Anolis sagrei: one gene and its partners. The protein of the gene in region 1 interacts with the protein of each later gene in a pairwise test. Links are inferred from orthologs where the notes say so. Each region holds a gene or a part of one and is shown on either strand. Other genes may lie near its edges.

Evidence for each region.
Region 2: the proteins of FXR2 (region 1) and FTH1 interact in binary tests that used the Homo sapiens proteins (3 or more experiments, as listed by UniProt). The link is inferred for Anolis sagrei from reciprocal best matches to the Homo sapiens genes FXR2 and FTH1.
Region 3: the proteins of FXR2 (region 1) and PSME3 interact in a two-hybrid assay, tested with the Homo sapiens proteins (2 studies listed by BioGRID and IntAct). The link is inferred for Anolis sagrei from reciprocal best matches to the Homo sapiens genes FXR2 and PSME3.
Region 4: the proteins of FXR2 (region 1) and multifunctional protein ADE2 interact in binary tests that used the Homo sapiens proteins (3 or more experiments, as listed by UniProt). The link is inferred for Anolis sagrei from reciprocal best matches to the Homo sapiens genes FXR2 and PAICS.

What each region holds. Positions count from the first base shown.
Region 1 is NC_090026.1:3,122,856-3,130,591, reverse strand, and holds the start of FXR2 (RNA-binding protein FXR2), read right to left. Parts: upstream 3,364-7,736; 5' UTR 3,112-3,363; coding exon 3,061-3,111; intron 1-3,060. UniProt on the Homo sapiens protein: mRNA-binding protein that acts as a regulator of mRNAs translation and/or stability, and which is required for adult hippocampal neurogenesis. Specifically binds to AU-rich elements (AREs) in the 3'-UTR of target mRNAs.
Region 2 is NC_090021.1:237,529,720-237,537,977, forward strand, and holds the start of FTH1 (ferritin heavy chain), read right to left. Parts: upstream 3,331-8,258; 5' UTR 3,166-3,330; coding exon 3,055-3,165; intron 1-3,054. UniProt on the Homo sapiens protein: Stores iron in a soluble, non-toxic, readily available form. Important for iron homeostasis. Has ferroxidase activity. Iron is taken up in the ferrous form and deposited as ferric hydroxides after oxidation. Also plays a role in delivery of iron to cells.
Region 3 is NC_090026.1:50,212,838-50,220,446, forward strand, and holds the start of PSME3 (proteasome activator complex subunit 3), read right to left. Parts: upstream 3,266-7,609; 5' UTR 3,058-3,265; coding exon 3,016-3,057; intron 1-3,015. UniProt on the Homo sapiens protein: Subunit of the 11S REG-gamma (also called PA28-gamma) proteasome regulator, a doughnut-shaped homoheptamer which associates with the proteasome. 11S REG-gamma activates the trypsin-like catalytic subunit of the proteasome but inhibits the chymotrypsin-like and postglutamyl-preferring (PGPH) subunits.
Region 4 is NC_090025.1:73,077,107-73,084,561, forward strand, and holds the start of multifunctional protein ADE2, read right to left. Parts: upstream 3,267-7,455; 5' UTR 3,099-3,266; coding exon 3,077-3,098; intron 1-3,076. Other genes in the region: PPAT (amidophosphoribosyltransferase), read left to right, coding at 5,496-5,623. UniProt on the Homo sapiens protein: Bifunctional phosphoribosylaminoimidazole carboxylase and phosphoribosylaminoimidazole succinocarboxamide synthetase catalyzing two reactions of the de novo purine biosynthetic pathway.

The DNA of each region.
Region 1 (7,736 bases):
AGGATTCTATGACCTCCTACTGCTAATTTATTCTAATTTTCCGGATTCACGTGCTCTCTTTTCCTTCAACTGAGGTGGAGAAGGACCAAACTTCAGCCCTCCCTCTGGTGCTGTATTTCGAATCCACAGAATGCAATCTCAAGTGGGAAGTTTTTTTGAAACTCAAAGGTCTGTTGCATCGGACAAATGCTGGGCAGGCTTCAATATTCCACTTTAGGGCATGGTCTGGCCAGTTTCTGAATGTTACAGATCATTTAAGTCAGGGGTCCTCAAACTTTTAAAGCAGAGGACCAGGTCACAGTCCTTCAAACTGTTGGAGGGCCGGATTATAATTTGAAAAAAAAAAGTAATTTGAATTCCTATGCACACTGCACATATCTTATTTGTAGTGCAAAAATCATTTTAAAACAATACAATAATTAAAATGAAGAACAATTTTAACAAATATAATCTTATTAGTATTTCAATGCGAAGTGTGGGCCTGCTTTTGGCTGATGAGATAGGATAGTTGTTGTTGCGTGCTTTCAAGTCAAATCAAATCATTTATTTCGGTCACTGACTAGCACAGGAAATAAGAGTCACATTTTCATACAAACTTGGTATGTTTGGTACATTAAAAATATAAATATAACTACTGAAGCACAATATGGGTGAGGGAGCGGAAAAGAAGGGGAAACAGGGTAAAAACATGCAATGCCCAGATCCATCACCAAATTGTAGATTCAAAGAAGAAGATTACTGGACACACAGTTAACATTTGGGACTAACGTCCTTGCAGACGGCCAATTCTCTCACAACAGGACACTCCTGACACGACCAAAAAAAAAAAATCCCTGATGGATTTTGTATGCTTTGCAACATTGTAGGTTGTAGCTGAATTAATATCTGCAAGTAGCATGGAGGTATAAAATTGTCCTGAACGGCGTGGGTGCTTGTATAACAGAGGTAAGATAAGTCTGGCATGGATATCCTTGTAGAACGGGCACTTTCAAGTCGTTTCAGACTTAGGTTGACCCTGGGTGAGGGCCGGGTAAATTACCTTGGGGGGCCATATCCAGGCCCCCGGGCCATAGTTTGAGGATGCCTGATTTAAGCCAATGGGATTTTGGCCTGCATTAATAGGAGCATGGTGTCTAGGTCCAGGGAAGTCATGCTACCCCTCTATTCTGCTCTGGTTAGACCACACCTGGAATATTGTCTCCAATTCTGGGCACCACAATTCAAGAGAGATATTGACAAGCTGGAATGTGTCCAGAGGAGGGCGACTAAAATGATCAAGGGTCTGGAGAACAAGCCCTATGAGGAGCGGCTTAAGGAGCTGGGCACGTTTAGCCTGAAGAAGAGAAGGCTGAGAGGAGACATGATAGCCATGTATAAATATTTGAGAGGAAGCCACAGGGAGGAGGGAGCAAGCTTGTTTTCTGCTTCCCTGGAGACTAGGACGCAGAACAATGGCTTCAAACTACAAGAGAGGAGATTCCATCTGAACATGAGGAAGAACTTCCTGACTGTGAGAGCCGTTCAGCAGTGGAACTCTCTGCCCCGGAGTGTGGTGGAAGCTCCTTCCTTGGAAGCTTTTAAACAGAGGCTGGATGGCCATCTGTCAGGGGTGATTTGAATGCAATATTCCTGCTTCTTGGCAGAATGGGGTTGGACTGGATGGCCCAGGAGGTCTCTTCCAACTCTTTGATTTTATGATTCTATAGGTAAACTTTGGAACTTCTAGGTGTTTTGAACTTCAACTCCTATAATTCCGAACAGCCTTTGACTTCAACTCCCATAATTCAGCCTATTGGCTGTAAGGAATTGTGGGAGTTGAAGTCCAAAACACCCTGGCCATCTTCCAACTTAAAAGTCCGTCTCTTTGAATTGTTTTGCCCAGAACGGTGTTATCCCAAGCAAAAGAGTGGGATTGCTAGGCCTTGTTCTCTTGTTTCCTCTTAATCAGGCATGGGCAAACTTGGGGCCTCCCTCCAAGTGTTTTGGGACTTCAACTCCCACAATTCCTGGCTTCAGGCCCCTTCCTTTTCCCAAAACACCTGGAGGGAGGCCAGGGAGAAAAGGAAAGGGCCTGAGGCCAGGAATTGTGGGAGTTGAAGTCCCAAAACATCTGGAGGGAGGCCAGAGGGGAAAGGAAAGGGCCTGAGGATAGAAATTGTGGGAGTTGAAGTCCCAAAACACCTGAAGGGAGGCCAGGGGGAAAAGGAAAGGGTTTGAGGCCAGGAATGGTGGGAGTTGAAGTCCCAAAACACCTGGAGGGAGGCCAGGGGGGAAAGGAAAGGGTTTGAGGCCAAGAATTGTGGGAATTGAAGTCCCAAAACACCTGGAGGGAGGCCAGGGGGAAAGGAAAGGGTTTGAGGCCAGGAATGGTGGGAGTTGAAGTCCCAAAACACCTGGAGGGAGGCCAGGGGGAAAAGGAAAGGGCCTGAGGCCAGGAATTGTGGGAGTTGAAGTCCCAAAACACCTGGAGGGAGGCCAGGGGGGAAAGGAAAGGGTTTGAGGCCAGGATTTGTGGGAGTTGAAGTCCCAAAACACCTGGAGGGAGGCCAGGGGGAAAGGAAAGGGTTTGAGGCCAGGAATGGTGGGAGTTGAAGTCCCAAAACACCTGGAGGGAGGCCAGGGGGGAAAGGAAAGGGTTTGAGGCCAGGAATGGTGGGAGTTGAAGTCCCAAAACACCTGGAGTGAGGCCAGGGGGAAAAGGAAAGGGTTTGAGGCCAGGAATTGTGGGGGTTGAAGTCACAAAACACCTGGAGGGTGGGCCCAAATTTGCCCATGCCTCCTTTGATGCAATCTATAGCTTGATTCCCATTCAGCTTGAGGCCTACAAAGCCTTCGAGGTCCCTTTCTTCCCCAACAAGCCTCCCTGCCTCCTTTGAACTCCTCAGAGGTATGTTTGTGACCTTTCCACCCAAAGCCCTGGACTCCAACTCCCAGAATCCTCGAGGGGCCTAGGCCTCCTGGGAGTTGGAGAGAGTTGGGAGGCTAGGCCGCATCTCCATGGCAACCGCGGGGGCCCCGCCCATGCCCCGTCTCCTTGGCAACGCTCTGCGGCCTACTCACCTTATAGAAGGCCCCGTTGGAGCCGCGCACTTCCACGGAGAGGCCCTCCATGGGGCCCGAAGGCGACGCCGGGGAGGAAGAGGCCGCCAAGGGGGAAGGCGGGGGGATTGGGGCCGGAGGGCGAGGCCCGGCTTCCTCCCCCGGGTCCGCCACCGTGACCGGTGCCTTCAGGCCGGAGCCTCCCCCACTCTGGCCTGCCGCCTCCCTTCCCTCGCCTCCGCCAGCCGGAGAGTCCGTCCTCCCCTCACAGAGCCAGCTTGAGAATGCGCATGCATGGCCCCGCCCCTCCGTCCGCGCATGCGTCGAGCCGGAAGACGCTTGCCTTCTTTTTCCCCCTTCAGGCCACGCCTACTCCATTCGGCCCCGCCCCCTTTCTCGTCAGCGTGAGCCAATGAGAGGCAGTCATTCCGCGAAGGAGGCGGGGCTTAGCCTTGTTTCAGCTCCTCCCACTCCCTTGTTTCTTCTCATACAACCAATAGGGAAGCCGTCCTCCAACATGTCAATCATAGGAAATGTGAGCCAATGAGAGGCGCTCATTCTGCCAAGGAAGTGGGGCTTAGCCTTATTTCAGCTCCTCCCACTCCCTTGTTTCTTCTCATACAACCAATAGGGACGCCGTCCTCCAACATGTCAATCATAGGAAATGTGAGCCAATGAGAGACGCTCATTCCGCCAAGGAGGCGGGGCTTAGCCTTGTTTCAGCTCCTCCCACTCCCTTGTTTCTCCTCACGTACCCATACAACCAATAGGGACGCCGTCCTCCAACATGTCAATCATCAAAGAGGCGGGGCTTACCCTTTCTTAGACTCCTCCCACTCCCTTGTTTCTCTTCACGCCTCCTCTTTCTCCCCCGCTAACAACCAATAGAGAAGCCTTCCTCCAACATGTCAATCATAGTTCTCTCTAGGAAATGTGAGCCAATAAGAGGCGCTCATTCCGCCAAGGAGGCGGGGCTTAGCCTTATTTCAGCTCCTCCCATTCCCTTGTTTCTCCTCACGCACGCATACAACCAATAGGGACGCCGTCCTCCAACATGTCAATCATAGGAAATATAAACCAACGAGAGGCGCTCATTCCGCCAAGGAGGCGGGGCTTAGCCTTATTTCAGCTCCTCCCACTCCCTTGTTTCTTCTCACGTACCCATACAACCAATAGGAACGCCGGCCTCCAAAGTGTCAATCACAGTTCTCTCTAGGAAATGTGAGCCAATGAGAGGCACTGATTCCGCCAAGGAGGCGGGGCTTACCCTTATTTCAGCTCCTCCCACTCCCTTGTTTCTCCTCACGCACGCAAAGAACCAATAGGGAAGCCGTCCTCCAACATGTCAATCATCAAAGAGGCGGGGCTTGCCATAATTTCAGCTCCTCCCACTCCCTTGTTTCTCCTCACGTACCCATACAACCAATAGGGACGCCGTCCTCCAGCATGTCAATCATGGTTCTCTCTAGGAAATGTGAGCCAATGGGAGGCGCTCATTCCGCCAAAGAGGCGGGGCTTTCCCTTATTTAGGCTCCTCCCACTCCCTTGTTTCTCCTCACGCCCTCTCTCTCTCCCCCGCTAACAACCAATAGAGATGCCTTCCCCCATCATGTCAATCACAGTTCTTTCTAGGCGATGTGAGCCAATGAGAGGCACTGAATCTGCCAAAGAGGCGGGGCTTGCCCTTATTTAGGCTCCTCCCACTCCCTTGTTTCTCCTCACGCCCTCTCTCTCTCCAACGCTAACAACCAATAGAGATGCCTTCCCCCATCATGTCAATCACAGGTCTTTCTAGGCGATGTGAGCCAATGAGAGGCACTGAATCTGCCAAAGAGGCGGGGCTTGCCCTTATTTAGGCTCCTCCCACTCCCTTGTGTCTCCTCCCCTTCTCTCTCCCCCGCTAACAACCAATAGGAACGCCTTCTTCCAACATGCCAATCATAGTCGAGGTTTTTTTTTTTTTTACCCCCACCCCGCTCTTAAAGGCGCAGGCGCAGAAGGGGGACCGACCAATGGTGAAAGTACTCCTGGCTCCTTTGCAACCAATCCTGACTCGACTTCTTTCAGCCCCTCCCATAGGGCTTCTGGACGCCCCGCCCTCTTTTTTTCCATCCTCAAAGGGTCGTAATTTTGGAGGAGCCCCGCCCCCGTCATTGAAAGCACTAATGGCATGAAAAGCCCCGCCCACAAATCGGGCCTTGCTCGGTCTTGATTGGCCAGTCGGTCTGAATTGCTAAGGCGGTTATTTATGAGGAGAAACAAGTGGCCTCCCCTGAGGATTGGGGGCGGGGCCAGGATTCCTCTGGTTGTGACCCCGCCTACTTTATTGAATGGACCAATCAAAGACGCCAGCCCGCCTCTCCTTGCTTCACTTTCCCTTATTATCCGCCAAAAGGGGGCGGGGCTTCTTCCTTTAGAGTTGCGGGTTCGAGTCCCGCCTGGGCTGAATTTGAATTCTAAATTTAATAGAACCCAAATTTAATAGAAGCAAAAAAATAGGGTGTTTTGGTACCCACTTCCTTCTTATGTTTATTTATTTATTTAAAAACACACATAATTTATTTACAATTAGAATCAAAATGTCTATTTCTCATGAGAGGACATCTGCACCTCAGTTTTATGCCACATTAACCTATGGGATTTGTATATCTGGAACTCCAGCACCAGAAACACCAACTTCTTCATAAAACTATAATTCCCAGGATTCCACAGAAATGTGGGGCCATGACAGTTAAAGGTGTTGAAGGAGGCTTCAAGGGTCTCTGAGTGAAATTAAGTAAGGGGCTTTGAATGAAATTAAGAGAGACAAACCCTTCTCTGTAGAAAAATAGCAGTATGGAATAAAATGTTTTTAAGAAACAAGATGTGATAGGATGCGTTGTGGTTAACTTCAAAGGTTGTTTTTGAAGCGCAGAGGCCGCATGTATAAGTAGGTACTTTCCATCAAAAGGTCAAGAGAGGGGGCTGGAAAGAGACTACTTTCCATGACAAAAAATTGTTCTTGTTTACTTGAGGTTATATATTTGGTGGTCAAAAGCCAAGGGGGACGGCAGTCACTTGAAGGGTAACATTTGCGCATGTTGCCTGGCTGTCCGTCTTCTTCATGAAGAAATCAAAAATAAAACCTTGGTTTTTTTTTATCTTTCATTGGGAATGTCTCCTTCCTTTCATGCTCCCGCGACGTGGACCTAAGAAGACCCAATTTAGGGTCTCTAACTGTCACAAAACTGGTACAACTGTGCAGTGCAGATACATCCATTCTCACTCCTGTTTTCTTTCAGAGTGTTCAGGCTGAACATCAACATTTAGTGCATTCTAATTGACTTTCATTTTGGAACACAAGAAGCATTTGACGAGGACTCAACACACAGAGAAACCATTTTAAAAGGCTCTCAAATTAAAAGACAACAAGAAGCAGAATTGTGGGAAAGACCGAAGTTGTGCTTTGTTTGATACTAAAAAATACCAGCTATGGCCTTTCGTAAATGGTTCAAATTTCCTCAGACGGTTTGACATCAAGATGGATGACTGAGGGAGACAAAATGGCTGCCAGTTGGCTGTTCCATGTCAAAGACGGCTCATTATTACCCTGCAATAATTAAACGACAACAGAATTGTGGAAAAGACCGAAGTTGTGCTTCGTTTGATACTAAAAAATACCAGCTATGGCCTTTTGTAAATGGTTCAAATTCCCTCAGACGGTTTGACATCAAGATGGATGACTGAGGGAGACAAAATGGCCGCCAGTTGGATGTTCCATGTCAAAGACGGCTCATATTTACCTCGCAATAATTAAACGACAACAGAATTGTGGAAAAGACCGAAGTTGTGCTTCGTTTGATACTAAAAAATACCAGCTATGGCCTTTCGTAAATGGTTCAAGTTCCCTCAGGCTGTTTGACATCAAGATGGCTGACTGAGGGAGACAAAATGGCCACTGGTTGGCTGCACCATGTCAAAGACGGCTCATTATTACCTCTCATTTCGCTACCAATAAGCCATCATGTCTAGAATCTTTATTCTGGGTGAAATCAAGAGGCAGTGGGGGGATTCTTTCTTTTAAAAATATTAGTTTTGGGCCATTTCATAAACAGTCCAGTTCCCCTCAGGAAGTGTGAAATCAAGATGGCTGACAGAAGGAGACAAAATGGCCACCATTACCTCATATTAAGTCACTATTACCTCGTATTAAGTCACTATGAAGACATTTTTTGTCATTATTTTGGCTGAATCCAAGAGCAAATTCTTGTGATTTTAAAACATATATATTAGTTATGATCATTTCATAAACGGCCCAGTTCCTTTCAGGCAATTTGACATCAAGTTGGCTGACTGAGGTAGACAAAATGGCCGCCGGTTGACTGTGCCATGACAGAGGCGGCTCATTATAACCTCATAGTAAAGGTAAAAGTTGTCCCCTGAAATTAAGTCCAGTTGTGTCTGACTCTGGGACTGTGGTGCTCATCTCTATTTCTAAGCCAAAGAGCCAGCGTTGTCCGTAGACACCTCCAAGGTCATGCGGCCAGTCTAACTGCATGGAGCGCCTCACATTAAACAACAATTAAGCCGTTTTCATGTAATTATTTTGGCTGAAACCAAGAGCAAATTCTTGTGATTAATGACCACTTCACAAATGGCCCAGTTCCCTTCATACAGTTTGACGTCAAGATGGCTGAGTGAGGAAGACAAAATGGCCA
Region 2 (8,258 bases), on another chromosome or scaffold:
CTAGATTAGGACTGTCAAGGAAGCAGATCCAACTATCTGCAGCAACTATTCAGAACTTTCTGCTACTGATCTGGTCATATATTTTCTTACCATTTGCTGTCTCATACAACTGCTGCACAACAAGCCTGTCAAACTGGCTGTGTTAGGTCTTGCTATGATCTTTTTCTAATGCAAAATACAGAACTATGACTTTGGAAAAGAGGACAAACTGATAGATTTGAACTAAGAACAACCCGTGCCACAAATGGTAAGGAATGATTACTGCTGCAGTCCAAAGATATCTGGAACTTTCAACTTTGCCCAGTGCTCCTTTAGATGAACCAAAGTTACAAGTCTAATTGTCATTTTTTCTTTTGGTAGATCCCCTAGAAAGTAAGTTCTGAAAATCACTTCAGAACAGGGAGAACAAGGTAACTTGCTTTGCCTCTAAGGTGAGAGTTTGCCCTTTAAACAGAAAAAGGGGATTTAATAATTCTAAGAGCTCAGCAAGTTAGGGTAGTCAATACTGATATTTTTGGCTTGGAAAGAAATTGCCAACAGTCAAGCGATCAAACATTTCTGAATACTCATTTTAAGTATCAAATTGTTACATTACTTCGATGAGTTTTTGAACCTCTAATCCAGGCACAGGGAAATTTCAGTCCTCCATGTGTTTTGGACTTCAACTCCCACAATTCCTAACAGCCAGTAAACTGGTTGGGATTTCTGGGAGTTGAAGTCTAAAACACCTGGAGGGCCAAAGTTTTCCATCCCTGCTCTAATCAGTCTTGCTACCTCTGTGAAATGTACAGTTTAGGCCACAAAAACAGGTTGAAGAGAGCTGGAGAAGCACATTCCATTTTAGAAACCATCTGCCAGACAAACGGTTTTGAGATAAGTGTATGTTATATCACTTACAATTCCCCTTGACTATTAGTCATAAATTGAAATCTGTATTCCAGTGAATGTTACATCACAAAGAACTCCAGAGCAACAAGAGCTGGACTACCCCTTGACAGCCAGTGTCAATAAATTCATTTTTAAAGCTACTGAGTTCCAAGTACTGCATTTAATCATATGTGAGTCTAGAAAATTTATTCAGAAGTCAACCCAAAAAAAAAATCTGGGTCACCATCCATGAGTCAAAGTATTATACTTTAAAGCTTTATCAAAAGCAAGAAATGGAAACATCCTCTTTTCTGAATAGAGTGGAAAAGGGCATTTATTTGTCTATCCTGGGAAAACCTAAAGGAACTATTGATCCCCTCTATTCTCTCAGCCATAGTATAATTTAGGGCCTTTTTGAAGGGAAAATGGGGGCCGCAGTTGGCCAGGAACGTCTAGCCCTGCTGGCATTTTCCTCTCTCCACATATGGTCAACTAATTTATGAGTATATGTGGATTCGATCAGTAAGCTCTTCCAGTGTTTGGAAAAATACATTTTAACATACATCTGCCAAAATATGTTTGCCACATTTATGCTGATAGGTTTACAACCACACACCATATAAGTTAACAGTAACTTGGGGAAATGGCTTTAGCTGTGTTCAAAACAACCAAGCTATATGAAAGCTATATGAGTCGCCCTAGGGCTGAGAACGGCGGTCAACAAATGCAACAAATGCAAACAAATGTTCCAGAGAAAAGGTCCAAAGTCAATTAAAGTACAATCACTCTTTATTGGAGAGATAAGAACTGGGGCTTCTGCAAACAAACAGGCGCCGGCAAATGGCAAACAGGAGCCAATATCAATTCTTATCAAGGTCCCCACCACAAAAGTGTAAACACTCTCCCTCCCCATGCTTTAGTAAAGGTAAAAGTTTCACCTGACATTAAGTCTAGTCATGGCCGACCCCGCAGGGGGAGGGGGGGGAATGCTCATCTCCATTTCTAAGCTGAAGAGCTGGTGTTGTTCATAGAAACCTCCAAGGTCATGTGGCCAGCATGAGTGCATGGAGTGCCATTACCTTCCAACAGAAGCGGTATCTATCGTTCTACTCATTTGCATGTTTTCAAACTGCTAGGTTGGCAGAAGCTGGGCCTAACAGCTGGACCTCAACCCGCTCCCCCAATTCAAACCGCCAACCTTTTGGTCAGCAAGTTCAGCTCAGCAGTTCAACTGCTGTGCCACCAGGGGGCCCTCCCCACTCTTCAGTTACCTCAAAACAGTCCAGTGGAATAAAAAGACTCAACAGCAAGCAGTGTGCCAGTGGCGCAGTTATCTTGCAATACTCGAGAAGTAAGCAAGCTCATCACAAGACAGTTCCTCTTTGCATTGCAGCATTTGGCCACAAAAAAGCAACCAGGAAAAATCTCTGGAGAGAGCAGCTGGATTGTGGCTGCCTAACCCATCCTAATGGGAGAGGGGAAACTGATTGCAAGGCAGGGTTCTTCCATAAGGTGCATCTGACCTGTACAATAAATGCTGTTCAACATTACTTTAATTGCCATGGCTCAATGATATGGGATCCCGGGAGAGATAGTTTGGTGAGACAAATTTCCCTTTGCCAGAGAAGGCTAAGAACCCTTGGGAAACTACAAATCCCAGGATTCCATAGCACAAGGTATGGTAATTAAAAGCGGCGGTAAACTGCATTAATTTCACATTGTAGGTGTACTTTATTCTCTTCCAAACACTCTGCAGGTTGGCTATTAAGACCCTCGACATACTATTATCTCAGGAGAACTTCAAGGATGTGAATGGGGGGAATCCACAGCTAGACTAAGCCCTATCTACACTGACCATTTAACGCGCACAAAATAATGCGAAAGAACGCTCTTAATGCGTATCAGTGGTTTGTGTCATCCCCATCCGGGCCTCAAAGGCAGTAGAAGGCGAGATTTCTTTGGGAGCCGTGGCTGTTTACTCCCATCCCTCCTGGAGAGGACGGGGCGAAGTCCAGGAGGGAAGGCGCCTCCCAAGGGCACGCCAGGCGCATGCGCGGCACCCGAGGAAGAGGCGGCAGGACCTTGGCCCTCCAGCGCTCCATTGCGCGCGCTCTCCCGCTCTCTCTCTCTCGAGGCCTGCCCACCGCACGCGCACACGCACGCGCCCCTCTCCTTCCCAGGGCTCACCATGCTGAGGTACACGTAGGAAGCGTAAAGCTCCAGGTTGATCTGCCGGTTGATGGCGGCTTCGCAGTCCTGGTGGTAGTTCTGGCGCACCTGGGAAGGAGACGAGGCCATGGCAGCACAAAGGCGAGCGGATGGATCGATTGATGGATATAGATAGATAAAGGAAGGCAGCGAGCGGGCGGCGGCCGAGCGGGAGTGGGTTCCGTCCAATCACTGTTGAAGCGGGAACCTCCTCAGCTAGGTCGCGCAGAGCGTTCTGGCCCGGCCACCTTGACGTCGTCTCTATATATAGCCCCGAGCTGCGTCACAATCCGAGATTAAGGGAAGCCACGCCCTCCGCTCGGTGGGAGGGAGGGGGGAGAAATGGAGGCTCGCTAAGGGACGGGCGCGAGGCTCTCCTTGAGGATCTCGCGCTCTTCGCTCCCTGCCTCCCTCCCTCCCTCGCCCCGCCCGCGCGCACACTCGTACACACATCCCGGCACGCGCCTCCAGAGTAAGCATGACTCAGCAGGTTTTGCGCCTTGTTGATTCCTGCGAGGCTTCGTCGGAAGAAGTTGATTTGGAGGAAGAGCGCTTCAGACATGCCTTAAATGTTCCTCTAGAGCAGGCATGTTTTGGACTTCAACTCCCACAATTCCTAACAGCCACTGTTAGGAATTGTGGAAGTTGAAGTTCAAAATACCTGGAAGGCCCAAGTTTGCCCATGCCTGCTCTAGGATGTGTCTACACCAGGCGTGGGCAAACTTGGGCCCTCCAGGTGTTTTGGACTCCAAGTCCCACAACTTGGACTTGGAGTCCAAAACACCTGGAGGGCCCAAGTTTGCCCATGCCTGATCTACACTGTCAAATTAATGCAGTTTGGTACCACTTTTAACTGCCATGTCCCAATACTATGGAATCCTGGGATTTAGTGAGGCACCAAGCGCTCTTTGGCAGGAAAAGCCAAAGACTGTGTTAAACAACACCTCTCATGACTCCATCGCCTTGAGCCATGATAGTTAAAGCGGTGTCAAACTGCATTATTTCTATAGTGTAGATGCATCCTGAGACAGCAACACCTTTGCTTCCTGATGGTTCCATGTTTGCAAACTTTGTTTCCAGCACAGCATTCTTTGTGAGGCATATAGAACAGAAACGCGAGGCACTTAAACAATAAATGAATTTAATTTAATATATATATATATATATACACACACACACACACATATATTCCCTCTCTTCTTCACCTCCCCTACCCTCTCACTCCCACCCCTCCTCCCTCCACCCACTCCACATTTTTCCTGAAATAATATTATAAGTTATTTAATCAAGTAAAAATGAATTTCAGATTTAGACTTGAATGCAATCTCCATGAATATGTATATTCAGATATTCCAAAATCCAAAACACTTCTGATGCCAAGCATTTTAGAGGAGGGATTCGCAACCTGTACAGAGAAGAAAGACATGTTCTGCAAAATGGACCACCAATGTGGAACATTTTTGACTTTCAGGATTGTAATGGCGCTCCATGCAGTCATGCTGGCCTCATGACCTTGGAGTTGTCTACGGACAGTGCCAGCTCTTCAGCTTAGAAATGGAGATCAGCACCACCCCCCAGAGTTGGACACAACTAGACTTAATGTCAGAGGAAACCTTTACCTTTACTTTATGTTAATGTTCTTATAAATTGGTTCTCAAATCACTTTTGATTGAGTGACGCTGTCCAATTATGAAACTGATGAAAACGCTGTCCAATTATATTGCCACTGATGAAAACTTCTGCACAATGCAACACCTAAAGGCACAATAACATTACTTCAGAAGTCAGTGTGTTAGGTAACTACAGATGATGTGAGTGATAAATTCCTGCTCAGAGGCTGGAAATATACTGACATAAAGTTGCCTCCTGTTTTAGCAAACCCAGCAAAATCCAGTCTTCCCAAAAGTGTGTGGCAGTGTGCTGGTGGCAGTCCACATTTCGCTTACTTCATCCTGCTTTGTGTGGATTTGTTTATTCGTTTAGTGACCACTGGAAGCACAAGAAAAGATGTGTTTTTGTACATCTGGATCAAAAGTGTTTTTTTATTACCTCAAAAATATGTTATTCTGTTTTGATATTTATTCACAAAAGAAGAGTGACACAAATACAAGGGAATGTAACATTTCCTTTATAGCAGGCATGAGCAAACTTGAGCCCTTCAGGTGTTTTGGACTCCAACTCCCACCATTGCTAACAGCCTCAGGCCCTTTCTTTTTCCCCCTCAGCCATTTAAGCGGCTGAGGGGGGAAAGGAAGGGGCCTGAGGCTATTAGGAATGGCGGAAGTTAGAGTCCAAAACACCTGGAGGGCCCAAGTTGGCCCAGGCCTGCTTTATAGTATTGTTTTTCAGTTCTGGGCTCCACTGAACCATTGAGCTCCCAGGAGCATCCTGAATGGATTTCTGAAAATGCTTCCACCATTTTCCGATCATGCTCTGTAATGATAAGGAGTAATATACAGTATTAGCTATTACAGGTTGCGCACACTTTATTTGGGATTCCAAATTCCCAAATTCTCCCAAATCTGAATTTGTCCACAGAGATGGGCTGAGATAGTGACACCTTTGCTTTCTAACGGTTCAGCATACATGCACTTTGTTTCATGAGCAAAGCTATTAAAAATATCTATCTACTGTATATATGAAAGTCAACATGTGGATGTTTGTCTGTTTGTACCACAAAGGCCATTGCTAGGTGAAGTGGCCCTCTGTGATATCACTGGATTGGCTGAGTTAGGTGGCTCTCATGGATGTCACTGGGAAAGAAAGGTAACGTGTATGAAGGGTCTGTTGCTCAGTGATAATTCAGTGGCTCTTTGTTATGTCACTGGGAAAGAAAGGTGACATATATGAGGGGCAGCGAGGAAGAAAGGAAGGAGCCATAAAGACAGCTGTGTCGCCACTGGAGCATTGTGAGGTAGGCTGGAGAAGGAGAACCAAAGGGAGGAGAGAGAGAGAGAGAGAGAGGAGAAGGGGGGAGGGAGGGAGAAGAAAGGAAAAGGAGGGAAGGAAGGAAGCGAAAGAAAAGTGGGAAAGTTATGAGAGGAGGGAAAGGAATGAAAGCAAGGGGGCACCAGCTCCTCCTACACCTGGGCAACAGTGGCTATGTACGCTAATGTATGTGTATAAAATTACCTTTGGGTATAAGATATATATAAAATGTATATTCTTTCTTTAAGATGATATGTGCAAATGATGATATGTGCAAATACATGTCTGTCACCCCCCCCCCCAAAAAAATCCAAAACATTTCTGGTTCCATGCATTTGGAATAAGGGATACTCAATCTGTACTACAAATGTCCTTCTTTGAATTTTACAACTATTGATTAAATTGCTTGTTACTACATTTTACTTTGTAGCAGGGAAAGGAGTTTATGGGTTTTGCAGGTTAGATAATCACGGAGCAGAATTTGGCAACACGCACAAAAAAGGATTAAAAACCTGTTTATAGGATTGCAATGTAGTGTGCTGCTCGATAGGAGGACTGTAAACAGTGGCATACACAGCCCTAATTGTCTGTATTGTAGGCAGCAAGCCAGAATGAACAAGCTGCATCTGTGAGGTCCAGTTACACACTCTGCCCAAGAATTTCAATATATATGTATGTTTCCAAATACATATATATACATTTGCTTAAGGGTGCCAGAAAGTATGTTTTCCAGAGAGGCATACTATGCAACTGGGCATCTCTTTCTATCCTTCCTGACATTTTCAAAGTTTCAAAATCTCACACTCACATAGTTGTGAAATGGAAGTTCCCAAGTGAGAAATCCTTTTTTGTCAGGCAAATGTGACAAGATTGACAGGAAAGCTACATATGTTATGTTCATCACATAACAAAAAACTAACACATAGCTGTATTGCTCTGGAATACTAATAGTCCAGATTAATGTGTTGTTGAAAGCTTTCATGATCTCAAACAACAGGGGAATTTCTGACATGAAACAATCAGGGCCAGCTAACACCTCCCAACAAAGGATCCCCAGGCAGCAACCAGCCAGGTTTTGAAGCTGCAAGGCTATTAAATGCTAATAAATATGGTCAATTGCAACATTCACACTTGCCTCAAGCAGACAAGAGTTCTTTCTCCCATCCTGGACATTTCACAGACATATATACCTCACTTGCCTAGTTTCCAGCAGACCTCTGAGGATGCCTGCCATAGATGTGGGCGAAACATCAGGAGAGAATGCTTCTGGAACCTGGCCATACAGCCTGGAAAACTCACAGCAACCCAATCCAGATTAACACAGCTATGTCTTTGTTTTCTACTGTGCCTTGTAACCTGTTTGGAAGGTAAACTGTTGTACCTGAACTCTTTCAGAAGCAGCAATTCTCCTCTTTTGGCCTGAAAAACGCTATTCCAAAAGACTCAAAAACATTGTTAGGCATTGCAAGTGCTCTGAGGTCCATTTTTCACCCCCAGCAACCTCTGTATCACATGATGTACGTGAAAGCTTCTGGGCTAGACTCCATAGAGTGGGACAGGATCTTGCACCCAAGTCTGTGCCAGGTTGTCAGAACATAATTGTTTCTTTTATTGTATTTGTTATCAAAAACGGCATGAGATTTTTTTGCCTGAGTTAATTACCAACATAATTTCTCAAGTACTACCATCTTAATTTGGAATGAACATTGTTTGCTTCAGATAAGGAAATGCCTTGGGCTCATCCTGATCTCCTCGTACTTGAAGGAACTCTAACATATAGAGACCTCTCCTTGTATGTGCCAGATGTGCAGATTAGATGTGGACGGTGCTAGCATGTGCATTGGCAGCAGGAGGCTGGTGCTATTCGACACAACCCTCTCTCATCTTCTATGTTTGAAGGGAATTGTGTGAACACCTCTAAGGATGCACCTACAGTGTAGATTTAGTGCAGTTTGATATCACTCAGTGCTATGGAATCGTGGGAGTTGTAATGTTAAAAGGTCTTAATCCTTCTCTGACAAAATGTGCTGGCGCCTTCCAACTACAAATTCCATGATTACATGAAGCCATGCCAGTTAAAGTAGTGTCAAATTGCATTAATTCTACAGTGTAGATACACATTTAGAAGGAAAGTTAACAAGATGGTAGGATAAGAAAGCAGGGAGGCATTGCTGAGAAAGGCAGGAGAAGCTTTTTGGGATCAGAAACAGAATGCCACCAATTGTTGTAGTTGAAGGCTTTTTTTTTTGTCCCAC
Region 3 (7,609 bases), about 47 Mb from region 1:
CACCACTTGAACTGCCATTGCTCAATGCTATGGAATCATGGGACTTGTAGCTTAACAAGATATTTTTCCTTCTCTGCCAAAGTGTGCTGGTGATTCCCCAAATAACACATTTCTGGATTCCATAACCTTGAATCATGGCAATTAAAGTGGTGTCATACTGCATCAATTCTACAGTTTAGAAACACTCCTCTACCTGCACCCGGGAACACAACAATAGGAAAACCTTGAGGTAAAATCTGCCCCCTTAATTCAAACAGTAAGGCCCCTTCTACACTGCCATATAAAATCCAGATTATATGCTTTGAACTGGATTGGATGGCAGTGTAGACTCATATGATCTGGCCATGGTGGTCCACGCCTTAGTCACCTCCAGATTGGTTTACTGCAATGCACTCTACGTGGGGCTGCCCTTGAAGACAGCTCGGAAATTTTGACTGGTCCAACGGGCAGCAGCCAGATTACTAACTGGAGAGACTTACAGGGAGCGGTCAACCCCCTGTTTTAAGGAGCTCCATTGGCTGCCATTCACGTTCCCAGTCCCAATTCAAGGAGCATGTTCTCACCTACAAAGCCCTGAACGGTTTGGGACCCGCCTACCTGCGTGACCGCATTTGTTTACGAACCCATGCGATCTCTTCGATCATCTGGAGAGGCCATGCTCTCGCTTCCACCCTCTTCACAGTTGTGACTGGTGGAGATGAGGGAGAGGGCCTTCTCTATGGTGCCCCCCCCCCCCCGACTCTGGAACTCACTTTCCAAGGATATCAGACAAGCCCCTACACTGGCAGTCTTTAGGAGGAGCTTGAAAAAGTGGCTGTTCCAGTGTGCCTTCCCTGACTAAAGGAAACAATGCCCTGATCTAACTAATTTTCTGCAATATGTCCTCTGAAGCACTTTATCTACCTGTTGGATTGATCTCATCTGGAGAGGCCCTGCTCTCGCTCCCACCCCCTTCGCAGGTACGACTGGTGGGGATGAGGGAGAGGGCCTTCTCTATGGTGGCCCCCTGACTCTGGAAGTCGCTTTCCAAGGATATCAGACAAGCCCCTACATTGGCAGTCCTTAGAGCAGTGTTTCTCAACCTGGAGGTTGGGACCCCTGGAGGGGTCGTGAGGAGGTGTCAGAGGGGTCACCAAAGAACATCAGAAAACACAGTATTTTCTGTTGGTCATGGGGTTTCTGTGTGGGAAATTTGGCCCAATTCTGTCATTGGTGGGGTTCAGAATGCTCTCTGATTATAGGTGAACTATACATCCCAGTAACTACAACTCACAAGTGTCAATGTTTCTCTTCCCCAAACTCCACCAGTGTCCACATTTGGGCATATTAAGTATCTGTGTCAAGTTTGGTCCAGATCCATCATTGTTTGAGTCCACAGTGCTCTCTGGATGGAGATGAACCACAACTCCCAAACTCAAGGTCAATGCCCACCAAAACCTCCAGCATTTTCTGTTGGTCATGGGAGTGCTGTGTGCCAAGTTTGGTTCAATTCCACCATTGGTGGAGTTCAGAAGGCTCTTTGATTGTAGGTGAACTATAAATCCCAGCAACTACAACTCCCAAATGACAAAATCAATCCCCCCCCCCCAACCTCACCAGTATTCAAACTTGGGTGTACTGAGTATTTGTGCCAAATTGGTTCCAGTAAATGAAAATACATCAGATATTTGCATTACAACTGATATCTGTCGCAAAAAGGCAGTTATGAAGTAGCAATGAAAATGATTTGATAGTTGGGGGTCACCCCAACATGAGGAACTCTATTAAGGGGTCGTGGCAATAGAAAGGTTGAGAGCCAGTGCTTTAGGAGGAGCTTGAAAAAGTGGCTGTTCTAGTGTGCCTTCCCTGAATAAAGGAAATAATGCCCTGATCTAACTAATTTTCTGCAATATGTCCTCTGAAGCACTTTAACTATCCGTTGGATTGATCTCCCTACATTATCCTCTAAATCCCCCGTTTAGACATACCCTCATTCTATTCACGTCCAGTGTTGTAAAATGTTTAATCCACTGTGTTTTTAAATTTGTGTGTTACTGCTTATATGTTATTTATAATATTTGTATTGTGTTTTACTTGCTTGTTTGCTTTGTTGTTTTTACTGATGTATTTTGGTTGGGCTTGGCCTCATGTAAGCTGCCCCGAGTCCCCTTGGGGAGATGGTGGTGGGGTATAAATAATGTATTATTATTATTATTATGGAGCCCTCGGTGGCGCAGTAGGTTAATCCCCTGTGCTGGCAGGACTGAAGACCAACAGGTCGCAGGTTCGAATCCGGAGAGAGGTGGGTGAGCTCCCTCTATAAGCTCCAGCTCCTCATTCGGGGACATGAGAGAAGCCTCCCACAAAGATGGTAAAAACATCAAATCATCCGGGCGTCCCCTGGGCAACGTCCTTGCAGAAGGCCAATTCTCTCACACCAGAAGCGTCTTAATAGTTTCTCAAGTCGCTCCTGACACGACAAAAAATTATTATTATTATATGAACCAGTTTAAAGCAGATAATGTGGATTATCTGCTTTGATAATCTGGGTTATATGGCAGTGTAGAAGGGACCAGAGAAGGCCTTGTTAAACTACAACTCCATAGCATTGAGGCAGGAGAGTTAAAGTGGTGTCAAACTGCATTCACTCTGCAGTGCAGATGCACCAAAAGAGCATCATAATAATATCCCTAAACCACAGTTCATCAGATCAAAAGGGATTCCACAGGCTGCTCAGCGAGAGGAACTATTAGCTCAGGGCCCTTCCACACAACTATATATATATCCCAGAATATCTGCTTTGAAGTGGATTATCTGAGTCCACACTGCCACATATCCCAGTTCAAAGCAGATAAAAGTAGGGTTTTATTCAACTGTGCAGAAGGTGCCTCAGCTCCATGCAGCATCCAACTCGTCCTGGCCCTATTCGTCAGCCGCAGCCTGGCTGGGGAACGCCCAGCCGCCTCCCGGCGCTCTGCACATGCTTAAGGACACGGCCCGCCCGTGGCGGAAGCGGCTCTTCCCTTTCTCTCGTACCTTGATCTTCACTTCCGGGTCCACCTTGAGGAGGGAGGCCATGGCGGGGCGGGGGAGCCGGTTTCCCGAACCAGAGCCGTCTCTTGCTGTCCCGCGCGCGCGCGACCACCCAAGGAAACCACCGGCTTCGCCACTGCCGGATGTGACGGCATAACCTCCCCCCTCCCCCTCCTTCTTAGCCACCCCGCCTGGACCAATCACCGAACGCCTAGCCGGCCAACGTGATTCGCACGATGCCTTTTGTCGTCCGCCCCTCTTCCTTTAGAAGGCGCGTGCGCTGAAGGGGCAGCCAAGCCACTTCCGATTGTGTGGGCGGGGCCTCTGGAGAAACGAAGCCGGAGCACATAGAAACAGAAAGGAAAGACTGAAACATTGTTTGCGAGTTTCCGATACCATTTGGCATGTGGTTGGTGTCTGAAGGTGACTCTGAAGGATCTATAAAGTATCTCCAACGATTTTTGTCCCTGGGTTATAAATGTCATTTCCTAATTGGTTCTATCATAAAAATATGGAAATAGTTTATTAAACTGTCAAAATTTTGTTTTTGTCGGACATCCTGCAGCACATCTTGTAGTTTTTCAATGAATGTCTCATAGAGTTTCAACCAATTCAACAAAGGCCCTGTCCAAACAGCTTAATAATAATAATAATAATAATAATAATGGGTTGTTGTAGGTTTTTTCGGACTATATGGCCATGATCTGGAGGCATTTTGTCCTGACGTTTCGCCTGCATCTATGGCAAGCATCCTCAGAGGTAGTGAGGTCTGTTGGAACTAGGAAATGGGTTTATATATCTGTGGAATGACCAGGGTGGGACAAAGGAGTCTTGTCTGCTGGAGCTAGGTGTGAATGTTTCAACTGACCACCTTGATTAGCCTTTCCAGAATAGGAAAACTCCAATAACAAGTCCCAGAAACACTTTATTAGAATTAAGATTGCTGCACACTGCACTTACCCTATAATCCTTACATATCACCTGTCACACCAGCACTTTTTAATTCTGTACCCATTACTCTGGCCCGGCCCAGTTTTATTGTGTCTTGGTGTATTCTTTATTGCTTGTTGTTTAATATTGCTTTAATTGTTTTTAAATTGCTTAGGTTTTGTATTGTTATGTTGTGTTTTGAGGCCTTGGCCTTTGTAAACCGCTTCGAGTCCTTCGGGAGATGCTAGCAAGGTACAAATAAAGTTAATAATAATAATAATAATAATAATGGGCAGACAGTGCCTGGAGCAAACTTTTGTTGAGAGGTGATTATATGTCCTTGTTTGTTTCCTCTCTGTTGTTGTGCTGTTGCAATTTTAGAGTTTTTTTAAATATTGGTAGCCAGATTTTGTTCATTTTCATGGTTTCCTCCTTTCTGTTGAAATTGTCCACATGCTTGTGGATTTCAATGGCTTCTCTGTGTAGTCTGACATGGTGGTTGTTGGAGTGATCCAGCATTTCTGTGTTCTCAAATAAAATGCTGTGTCCAGGTTGGTTCATCAGGTGCTCTGCTATGGCTGAATTCTCAGGTTGGAGTAGTCTTCAGTGCCTTTCATATTCCTTGATTCGTGTTTGGGGAATGCTGCGTTTGGTGGTCCCTATGTAGACTTGTCCACAGCTGCATGGTACACAGAAACATCAGGAGATAATGCTTCTAGAGGAGGGGTCCTCAAACTTTTTAAACAGAGGGTCAGGTCACAGTCCCTCAAACTGTTGGAGGGTCAGATTATAATTTGAAAAAAGCATGAATGAATTCCTATGCACACTGCACATATCTTATTTGTAGTGCAAAAAACGCTTAAAACAATACAAGAATTGAAATGAAGAACAATTTTAACATACATAAACTTATTAGTATTTCAGTGGGAAGTGTGGGCCTGCTTTTGGCTGATTAGATAGGATTGTTGTTGTTGTTGTTGTTGTTGTTGTGTGCTTTCAAACGTTTCAGACTTAGGTTGACCCTGAGCGAGGGCCGGGTAAATGACTTTGGAGCGGTGAGGGAGGAAGGGGGCACCCGCCTAGGCAGCCAGATCAGCCAAATCAATCCTGGCGATCAATGGGGTGACAGATGTCGCAGCCAGATTGCCCTCACATCAACTTAGGTTGACCCTGAGCAAGGGCCAGGTAAATGACCTTGGAGGGCTGCATCCGGCCCTTGGGCCTTAGTTTGAGGACCCCTGCTCTAGACCATGGCTATATAACCCAAAAAAAAATAATAATCTACAACAACCCAGTGATTCCGGCCATGAAAGCCTTCAACAATACAATAATAATAATATAAACTTTATTTATACCCCGCCATCATCTCCCCAAGGGACTTGGAGCAGCTTACATGAGGCCAAGCTCAACAACACATCAATAAAAACAAAAAGCAATAAACAAAAAACAATAAGTACAATACAATTAATATAATAAATCTATATAAATAAAAATGTGATGTTTGTTTGTGGGATTAACAGAACTCAAAACCCACTGGGGGACTTGACACCAAATTTGGACACAAGACACCTAACAACCCAATGTATGTCCTTCACTCAAAAAATTGATTTTGTCATTTGGGAGTTGTAGTTGCTGGGATTTATAGTTCACTTACAATCAAAGAGCATTCTGAATCCCACCAACGATGGAATTGAACAAAAATTGGCACACAGAACTCCCATGACCGACAGAAAATACAGGAAGGGTTTGGTGGGTATTGACCTTGAGTTTGGGAGTTGTAGTTCATCTACATCCAGAGATCACTGTAGACTCAAACAATGATGGATCTGGACCAAACACTATACAAAGACTAAATATGCCCAAATGTGAACACCGGTGGGGTTTGGAGAAAATATAATCTTGACATTTGGAAGTTGTAGTTGCTGGGATTTATAGTTCACCTACCATCAGAGCATTGTGAACCCCACCAACGATAGAATTGTGCCAAACCTCCCACACAGAACCCCATGTGGGCCACAGCAATGTGTGGCAGGGGACGGCTAGTCACATATAAACAATAACCAATAAACAGTAACACACAAGGATTTAAAAACCTGTGGCCGGGCCAAATGTAATAGTTTAAAAATTTAAAAAATAAATGCTGGGCATGAACGAGGGAGGATATATTGGGTTCTAAAAGAGATGAGGGAGCGCAGTCAATCCTAAACCAGTAGTAAAGTGCATTCTGAGGACATATTGCTGGGAATTTTCTTTTCTGGGAAGGCACACTGGAACAGCCACGTTTTCAGGCTCCTCCTAAAGACTGCCAATGATGGGGCATGCCTGATGTCCTTGGGAAGTGAGTTCCAGAGTCGGGGGGCCACCACCGAGAAGGCCCTCTCCCTCGTCCCCACCAATCGCGCCTGCGAAGGGGGCAGGAGCAAGTGCAGGGCCTCTCCAGATGATTGAAGAGATCGTATGGGTTCATATACAGAAATGCGGTCATGGAAGTAGGCGGGTCCCAAACCGTTCAGGGCTTTGTAGGTAAGAACTTGCACCTTGAATTGGGACCAGAAAATAAATTATCTGCTTTGAGCTGGAATATATGGCGCTTCCAGGCGGGCCCTATATCCCAGGATCTGATGCCAGGTTTTCTGCTTTAAACTGGATTATGTCAGTCCGCACTGCCAGATAATCTGGGAGGGGTCTTCAAACTAAGGTCTGAGGGCCGGATATGGCTCTCCAAGGTAATTTACCCGGCCCTCGCTCAGGGTCATCCTAAAGCTGAACTGACTTGAAAGCACACAGCAATAATACTAACAATCCTATCTCATCAGCCAAAAGCGGGCCCACACTTCCCATTGAAATACTAATAAGTTTATATTTGTTACAATTGTTCTTCATTTTAATTATTGTATTTTTAAAGTATTTTTTGCGCTAAAAATAAGATATGTGCAGTGTGCATGGGAATTCATTCATGCTTTTTTCAAATTATAATCCGGCCCTCCAACAGTTTGAGGGACTGTGACCTGGCCCTCGGTTTTAAAAGTTTGAAGACCCCTGATCTGGGATAAAGGAAAACACTGCGAACACCAAGCACAAAGTAGTTACACACAGTACATCCTGCAGAAACTTATATCATCCCTGGCTCTGTCTTATTCAGCTGCCCTGTTTGGCACAACTCTGTCAACGCGAAGCAGGTGAATATAGCACTGAACAAAACATGTAGAATAATCACAGGGTGTCGTAAACCTACACCTGCTGATAGACTCTATAACAGTGTTTCTCAACCTTCCTAATGCCACAATGCCTTCATACAGTTCCTCATGTTGTGGTGACCCCCAGCCACAACATTATTTTCGTTGCTACTTCATAACTATAATTTTGCTCATTTTACGAATCGTAATGTAATACCTGATATGCAGGATGTATTTTCATTCACTGGACCAAATTTGGCACAAATACCCAATATGCCCAAATTTGAATACTGGTGGGGTTGGGGGGGGGGGTTGATTTTGTCATTTGGGAGTTGTAGTTGCTGGGATGTTAGTTCACCTCTTAGAGACCCTAAATTGGGTCTTCTTAGGTCCACATCACGGGAGCACGAAAGGAAGGAGACAGTCCCAAAAAAAGATCAAAGAACAAGGTTTTATTTTAGTTTCTTCATGAAGAAGACGGACAGCCTGAC
Region 4 (7,455 bases), on another chromosome or scaffold:
CCTCCAAGGTCATGTGGCTAGCATGACTGCACGGTGCACTGTTACCACCCCACCTATTGATCTACTCATATTTGCATGTTTTCGAACTGCTAGTTTGGCAGAAGTTGGGGCTGACACTGGGAGCTCCCACCGCTCCCCAGATTTGAACCTGCGACCTTTCAGTTAACAAGTTCAGCAGCACAGCGCTTTAACCCACTGACGTCAAACTGCTTGTCAATTTATGGAAAAACCATTAATTTCATAGGTTTGTTTTTTTTTTTTTACATAGAGTTGGCTGTATTGGATCCTTCCTCTGTACCTGGCATTATTTGCAGTCTATATTTCATCAGAATGTTTGTGTGTGTGTGAAGGGGACTGGTACAGCTTTAAATCATAACTCCTTGATTCTCAACATCCCCATTAGCATGGTCACTGGCCATCTTGGCTAAGGGATTTTGGGATGTGTGCTTCAAAACAGTATCTTCTCCAAACTTGGGGAAGACATGGGGAAAAAATTATTAATTTTTTTCTTGTAGGAACTCAAAAAGATTACAGACAACATCAAAACCGTTATAGCCTCATGGCTTTGTAGAGCCTGTTACTTTGTATCATCAGAATTTTCCACCATCCAGTTCTGCAAGTCACCTTATGACAAGTCCATAGGGTTTTCCTTAGGCAAGGAATCCCCAGAGGTGGTTTAACAGTCCCTTCCTTTGAAATATAGCCTTCAGAACCTGGCATTTGTTGGTGGGCTCCCAGCCAAGTCCTTACTAGGGCTGATCCTACTTAGCTTCCAACATCTGAGCTTAATAAAGACAGTTCATGTAATTTGCTTGGATATATTGTAAGACTAAACCCTATCAGGAAATTGAGCCTGCAAAGAAATTTCATGTAACAACACCTTGGCAAACCCGAATTATAGAATCATTCTGTTAAGGTTTAGATAGGTTCGGTCTACTTTCTGAAATCAGCCTGGGAAAGAGCACATCTAGATGGCTGAGGTCTTGAACAGGCTTGGTCTTCCAGGTGTTTTGGACATCAGTTCCCAGAATTCCTTTGCATCCACTGAGTCATCAGAAAGCAGAGATGTCACTGTGTTGTCAAAGGCTTTCATAGCCAGAATCACTGGGTTGCTGTGAGTTTTTGGGCTGTATGGCCATGTTACAGTAGTATTCTCTCCTGACATTTCACCTGCATCTATGGCAGGCATCCTTCTGTTTCTGAGAGGTGTCCCTTTCTTACTGCCTTGATTCTGATGTTTTTAAATACCCGTAATCAGTTTTAAGGTAAAGGTTTTCCCCTGACATGAAGTCCAGTCGTGTCCAACTCTGGGGTGTGGTGCTCATCTCTATTTCTAAGCCGAAGAGCCAACGTTGTCCATAGACACCTCCAAGGTCATGTGACCTGAATGACTGCATGGAGTGCCTTTACCTTCCCACCAGAGCAGTACCTATTGATCTACTCACATTTGCATGTTTTCGAACTGCTAGGTTGGCAGAAGCTGGGGCTGACAGCGGAAGCTCACGCTGCTCCCCGGATTTGAACCAGCGACCTTTCGGTCAACAAGCTCAGCAGCTCAGCACTTTAATCTACTGTGCCACCAGGGTCCAACCGGTATTACCAATCTGGAATTCCAGACAGCCAACAATCAAGTGTCAGTTAACACCTCCAAAGCAAAGGATGTCCCCAGGCAGCAACAGCCAGACTTTGCAGCTGCAAAGCTACTCACCAGCTAATCAAGGTGGCCAATTGCAAAATTCACACTTGCATCAAACAGACAAGAGTTCTTTCTCCCACCCTGGACATTCTACACACACCCCACTTGCCTCATTCCCACAGACCTTCGAACAAATCTCTGAGGATGCTTGCCACAGATACAGGTGAAATGTCAGGAGAGAATGCTACTGGAGCATGGCCATACAGCCTGAAACACTCACAGCATTCCAGAGGTGTCGCTATTTCAGGCTGTTTCAAAATGATGTTTAAGGGTCCTTCCACACAGCCATTTAACCCAGAATATCAAGGCAGAGAATTCACAATATCTGCTTTGATGTAGATTATCTGAGTCCACATGGCCATATAACCCAGTTCAATGTGGCTTTTATAGAGCTGTGTGGAAAGGGCCGAAGAAAAGTGGTTTCACTGGGCAGGTGATCACCTGGAACCAGTTTGAGATTCAGACGCTATTTACACAAACCACTGATGTACATTAGAATCATAGAATTGGAAGAGACCTCATGGGCCATCCAGTCCAAGCCCATTCAGCCAAGAATCTGGAGAATTGCATTCAAAGCACCCCCCTTTTTTTTTTGGTCATGTCAGGAGCAACCTGAGAAACTGCAAGTCGCTTCTGGTGTGAGAGAATTGGCCGTCAGCAAGGACGTTGCCCAGGGGGCGCCCGGATGATTTTTAATGTATTATGATCCTTGTGGGAGGCTTCTTTCACATCCTCGCATGAGGAGCTGGAGCTGGTAGAGGGAGCTCATCCGCCTCTCCCCGGATTCGAACCTGCGAACTATTGTCTTCAGTCCTGCTGGCACAGGGGTTTAACCCACTGTGCCACCGAGGGCACCCTCTACCTGTCTGCACCCCTGTCAGATAGCCATCCAGCCTCTGTTTAAAAGCTACCAAAGAAGGAGCCTCCATCACTCTGCCGCAGAGAGTTCCACTGCTGAACAGCTCTCACAGTCAGGAAGTTCTTCCTAATGTTCAGATGGAATCTCCTTTCTTGTAGTTTGAAGCCATTAAGATCTTTCTTTTATGCACTTTTGTGGGTGTTTGTTGCCTAAAGGCCACACTCTGAAACTAACTTTGAACTGCGTTAAATAGACAGTGCAGACAGGGTCTCAGCCATCCATTTTGGATTTTGCAGCATCTTAGGTTTAGGAAACCTGGGGAAAGTATACTCACCAAAGCAGAGGAGGCTTCTGGGAGCTGGAGTCCCAAACACCTGGAGGACTCAGCATGTGGCCTCCAACTCCCAGAAGCCCTAGCCAGCTTGCCCAATAGTCAGGAATTCTAGGGGTTAAAAGACTCCTTTGTTGTGGGGCATTCAGGAGGCCTTCTTTGGGGGGAGGACAAGAAGGCACTCACTCACCTGTAGGGCGGATGGGAGCCATGGCTGCTGCAGCAGGAGCCCGAGGCGCCTAGGAGTCAAAGGCAAAGAGAAGTTAGCACAAGAGGAAGAAGGAGAAGAGGAAGGAGGAGGAGAAGGAGGAAAAGTTTGCTCGCGAGAGCCGTCCGCGGAGGAGCAAGTCCGAGGAGGAGAGAGAGGGCGCGCGCTGGCGGGGCGGCGTAAGAAGGGCGGGCGGCGGAAGGGGGCGGCCAATGAGGGGCGGGGAGCGCGCCCCGAACGCGCCAATGGCAGCCCCGCAAACAGGGCTTGCGCCACAGAATACACACACTCAATGGCGCGCGCACACGCCCCCTCGCAGCCCAATTTCCCCCAAGCATTCCCTCCAATCTGAGGCCAGTTCTGGCGGACACCCCTCGCCCGCCTCTTTCCCGCCCCAAAGCCCCGCGGGCCATGGCGAAGTTGCACTCTCAACAACTCCCGCTTCTATTCCAGCGCCCCCAAGTCCTCGCAAACTTCACCCTTTCTCCCTCTTCCTTACCCCCTCCCTTTCTTCTCTCCTTCCCTTTCACCCCTCCTTCTCTCTCTTTCCCCTCCCTATTTTTCCTCCGACTTTCCCCACTCCTTCCCTCCTTTTCCCTTTTTACTTTCCCTCCCTCCTTTTTTGTCTTTCCCCCCTCTTTCCCCTTCTCCTTCGCTCCTTTACCTTCTTCCTTTTCTGTCTTTTCCCTCTCCTTCCCTCCTCCCTTTTCCTCATCCCCTTTCTCTCTTTCCCTCCCTCCTTCTCTTTCCCCTTTCTTCTTTCCTTCCTTTTCCTCTCTTCCCTTCCCTTCATTTTCCTTGTCTTCTTTCACTCCCTTCTGCCTTTAACTCTTCTTTCCCCCTCTCCTTCCTTTCTTCTCCCTCATTCTCTTTTCCCTTCCCTCCTCTTCCCCTCTCTTCTTCCCCTCTTTCTGTCTTCCCTTCCCTTCATTTTCCCTGTCTTCTGTCTCTCCCTTCTGCCTTTAATTCTTCTTTCCCCCTCTTTACTTCCTTCTCCCTCAATCTCTCTTCCCTTCCCTCCTCTTTCCCTGTCTTTTCCTTCTCTTTCCCCCTCTACTTCCTCTCTTTTCCTCCTTTTCCTTTCTCTCCCCCTTTCTCTCCCTTCTTTCCCTCCTTCCTTGTGTCTTTCCACATCTTTCTCCTTCGCTCCTTTCCCTTTCTTCTTTCCCTTCTTCCTTTTCTGTCTTTTTCCTCTCCTTCCCTCCTCCCTTTTCCTCTTCCCCTTTTCTCTCTTCCCCTCCTTCCTTGTGTCTTTCTTCCCCTTTCACCCTCTCCTTCGCTCCTCTCTCTTTCCCTTCTTTCCCTCTCTTCTTTCCCACTTTCTCGCTTCCCTTCCCTTCATTTTCCTGTCTCCTTTTCCTCCCTTCTGCCTTTAATTCTTCTTTCCCCCTCTCTTTCCCTCCTTTTCCTTTCTTTCCCCCTTTCTCTCCTTTCTTTCCCTCCTTGTGTCTTTCCTCATCTTTCACCTTCTCCTTTGCCCATATTTCCTCTCTTCTTTCCTCTCCTTTCTCTCTTCCCTTCTCTTTATTTTCCCAGTCTTCTTTTCCTCCTCTTTCCCCCTTTTTCTTTCTTCCCCTCCCTGCTCTTTCTCTCATTTTCCCTGTCATCTTTCCTCTCGTTCTCTTTCCCCCTTTCCTCCCTCTTTTTCTCTCCTTTTCCTTTCTTTCCCCCTTTCTCTCTCTTCCCTTCTCCCTTTCTCTTGCTTATTTCCTCCCTCCTTCTGTCTTAGCCCTCATTCCCTCTCCTTCCCTCCCTCCCCTCTTTCCCCGTTTCCTTTCTTCTTTCCTCCTCTTTCCCCTCTCCTTCCTTCTTTCATGTCTTCTCCTCCCTCATTCCCCCTCCTTCCCTCTCCCTATTTCCTTTCTTCTTTCCCCTCTCCTTCCTTCCTTCTTTTACCGTCCCTTCCCTCCCTCCTCTCTCTTTCCCCCTCCCTCTATTTCTCTCTTTTTCCAGGAAGGATTCCCTCAGGAAGCAAAAGTAAACAACTCTTCTTTCTTATCCCCAATCAAAGTCAGAGAGGGAAAATCAAGTTTCAGCTCGGAAAAGCAGGAAATACCAAGGGAACCCTAAAAGAGGGGAGGCGGGGACTGGGGAGGGGCGACTTCCTCACAGGAGGGGGGGGGGCTAACTTTTTTGTTGCCATGAGACCAAATCACACATACACACGAGGGAGGTGATGGAGTCCTAAAGCAGAAAAAAGGGGCAGGACTCTCAACTTAGGAGCAGCCGCGAGACTAGTGCGCGCCCTCTCTCTATGCAAATCAGGCCTGTATGCAAATGAGGCGCCGAGGGGCGGGAAAAAAGGAGCAGGCTCGGTCCTCGCCCACAAGCCCAAGCGGCCACAAGCGCCGCGCCAGGAGCGACAACAACAGGGGCGGCCGCGACACGTGTGCGACGCACCATGGAGTTTGAGGAGCTGGGCATCGGGGAGGAGTGCGGGGTCTTCGGATGCCTCGCCGCCGGGGTCTGGCCCACCGAGCTGGACGTGCCGCATGTGATCACGCTGGGGCTGGTGGGGCTGCAGCACAGGTAAGGGAAGGGGCTTTGGGGGGCCACACATAAGGGGGCTCTGCAGGGAAAGGTCTGATCTCCAGTGCTGGAGCCTTGGAGGCAACCAGTTGTGGCTGTGAGTCTTCCTAAAGCTTGCATCTACAGCCAGGCATGGGCAAACTTCGGCCCTCCTCCAGGTGTTTTGGACTTCAACTCCCACAATTCCTAACAGCCGGTAGGCTGTTAGGAATTGTGGGAGTTGAAGTCCAAAACACCTGGAGGAGGGCCGAAGTTTGCCCATGCCTGGCTGTAGATGCATCTTGATTCTTCTCATTGTCCCACAGTATTGAGCATTAGCAGTTACACTACTTTTTGCTAGTGTTTTGCCACTGTTTTTGCCCTCATACTTACTGAGGGCCCTTCCACACAGCCCTAAATCCCAGAATATAAAGGCAGGAAATCCCACATTATCTGATAACCCAGTTCAAAGCAGATATTGTGGGATTTCCTGCCTTGATATTCAGGGATATAGGGCTTTGTGGAAGGGCCCTGGTTGATAAATCTGATGTCTTGCAGGTAAATTTGCTCCGAACACCCCAACTTTTCCACATGTTTTATTACACAGGGCCTTCACCGATTCCGGTCAAAGTTTGTGTTTTCACCAAACAGTGATTGCATTGAATTTGCTCAGCATCGAAGGCCCCTTCCACACAGCTGTGTAAAATCCCACATTATCTGCTTTGAAATGAGTTATATGGCATTGTGGACCCAGATATTTATTTATTTATGTATTTAAAGCATTTATATTCCGCCCTTCTCAGGGCAGAGCACAGCACATACACGGCAAACATTCAATGCCGGGACACAAATTCACATACAATACATAAACATAAAAAAATACATTAAAATACATCATTTAAAACTGTCCTAGCCATCCGCATCAAATCCAATTGGCCCTGTTATCTTTTCCACTGCCGCTTCATTGCCCTGTCCTGAAAGCTTGGTCCCACAGTCAAGTTTTTACCATCCTTCTAAAGGACAGGAGGATGGGGGTGACCCTCCATAGCAGGGGAGCAATCACCAAGAAGACCCTGTTTCTCGTCCCCACCAATTGTGCCTGTGACAGTGGCGGGACAGAAAGCAGGGCCTCCTCAGAAGATCTTAATCTCCATGATGGTTCATAGGGGAAGATGTGTTCGGACAGGTAATTTGGGCCGGGGCCGTTTAGGGCTTTATAGGCCAAAGCCAGCACTATGAATTGTGCCCGGTAGCAAACTGGCAGCCAGTGGAGGTGGCATAACATGCGAGTTGTGTGCTCCCTGTATGCCACCCTAGTTATTAACCTGGCTGCCTCTTCTTGGACTATTTGAAGCTTCCAAGCAGTCTTCAAAGGCAACCCCACATAGACTGCATTGCAGTAGTCTATCCTAGAGGTAATGAGAGCGTGGACCACCGTGGCCAAGTCTGACTTCCCAAGGTACGGGCGCAGCTGGCGCACAAGATAACTCGGGGCTCTTCCACACAGCTATATAACCAAGGCAGAATAACCCACAATATCTGCTTTGAACTTGAATATCTGAGGGCACTTCCACACAGCCCTGTATCCCAGAATATCAAGGCAGAAATAATAATATAAGGAGACCCCGGTGGCGCATTGGGTTAAACCACTGAACTGCTAAGCTTGTTGACTGAAAGGTCGCAGGTTCAAATCCGGGGAGCGGTGTGAGCTTCCGCTGTCAGCCCCAGCTTCTGCCAACCTAGCAGTTCGAAAACATGCAAATGTGAGTAGATCAATAGGTACTGCTCTGGCAGGAAGGTAACGGTGCTCCATGTAGTCATGCTGGCCACATGACCTTGGAGGTGTCTACAAA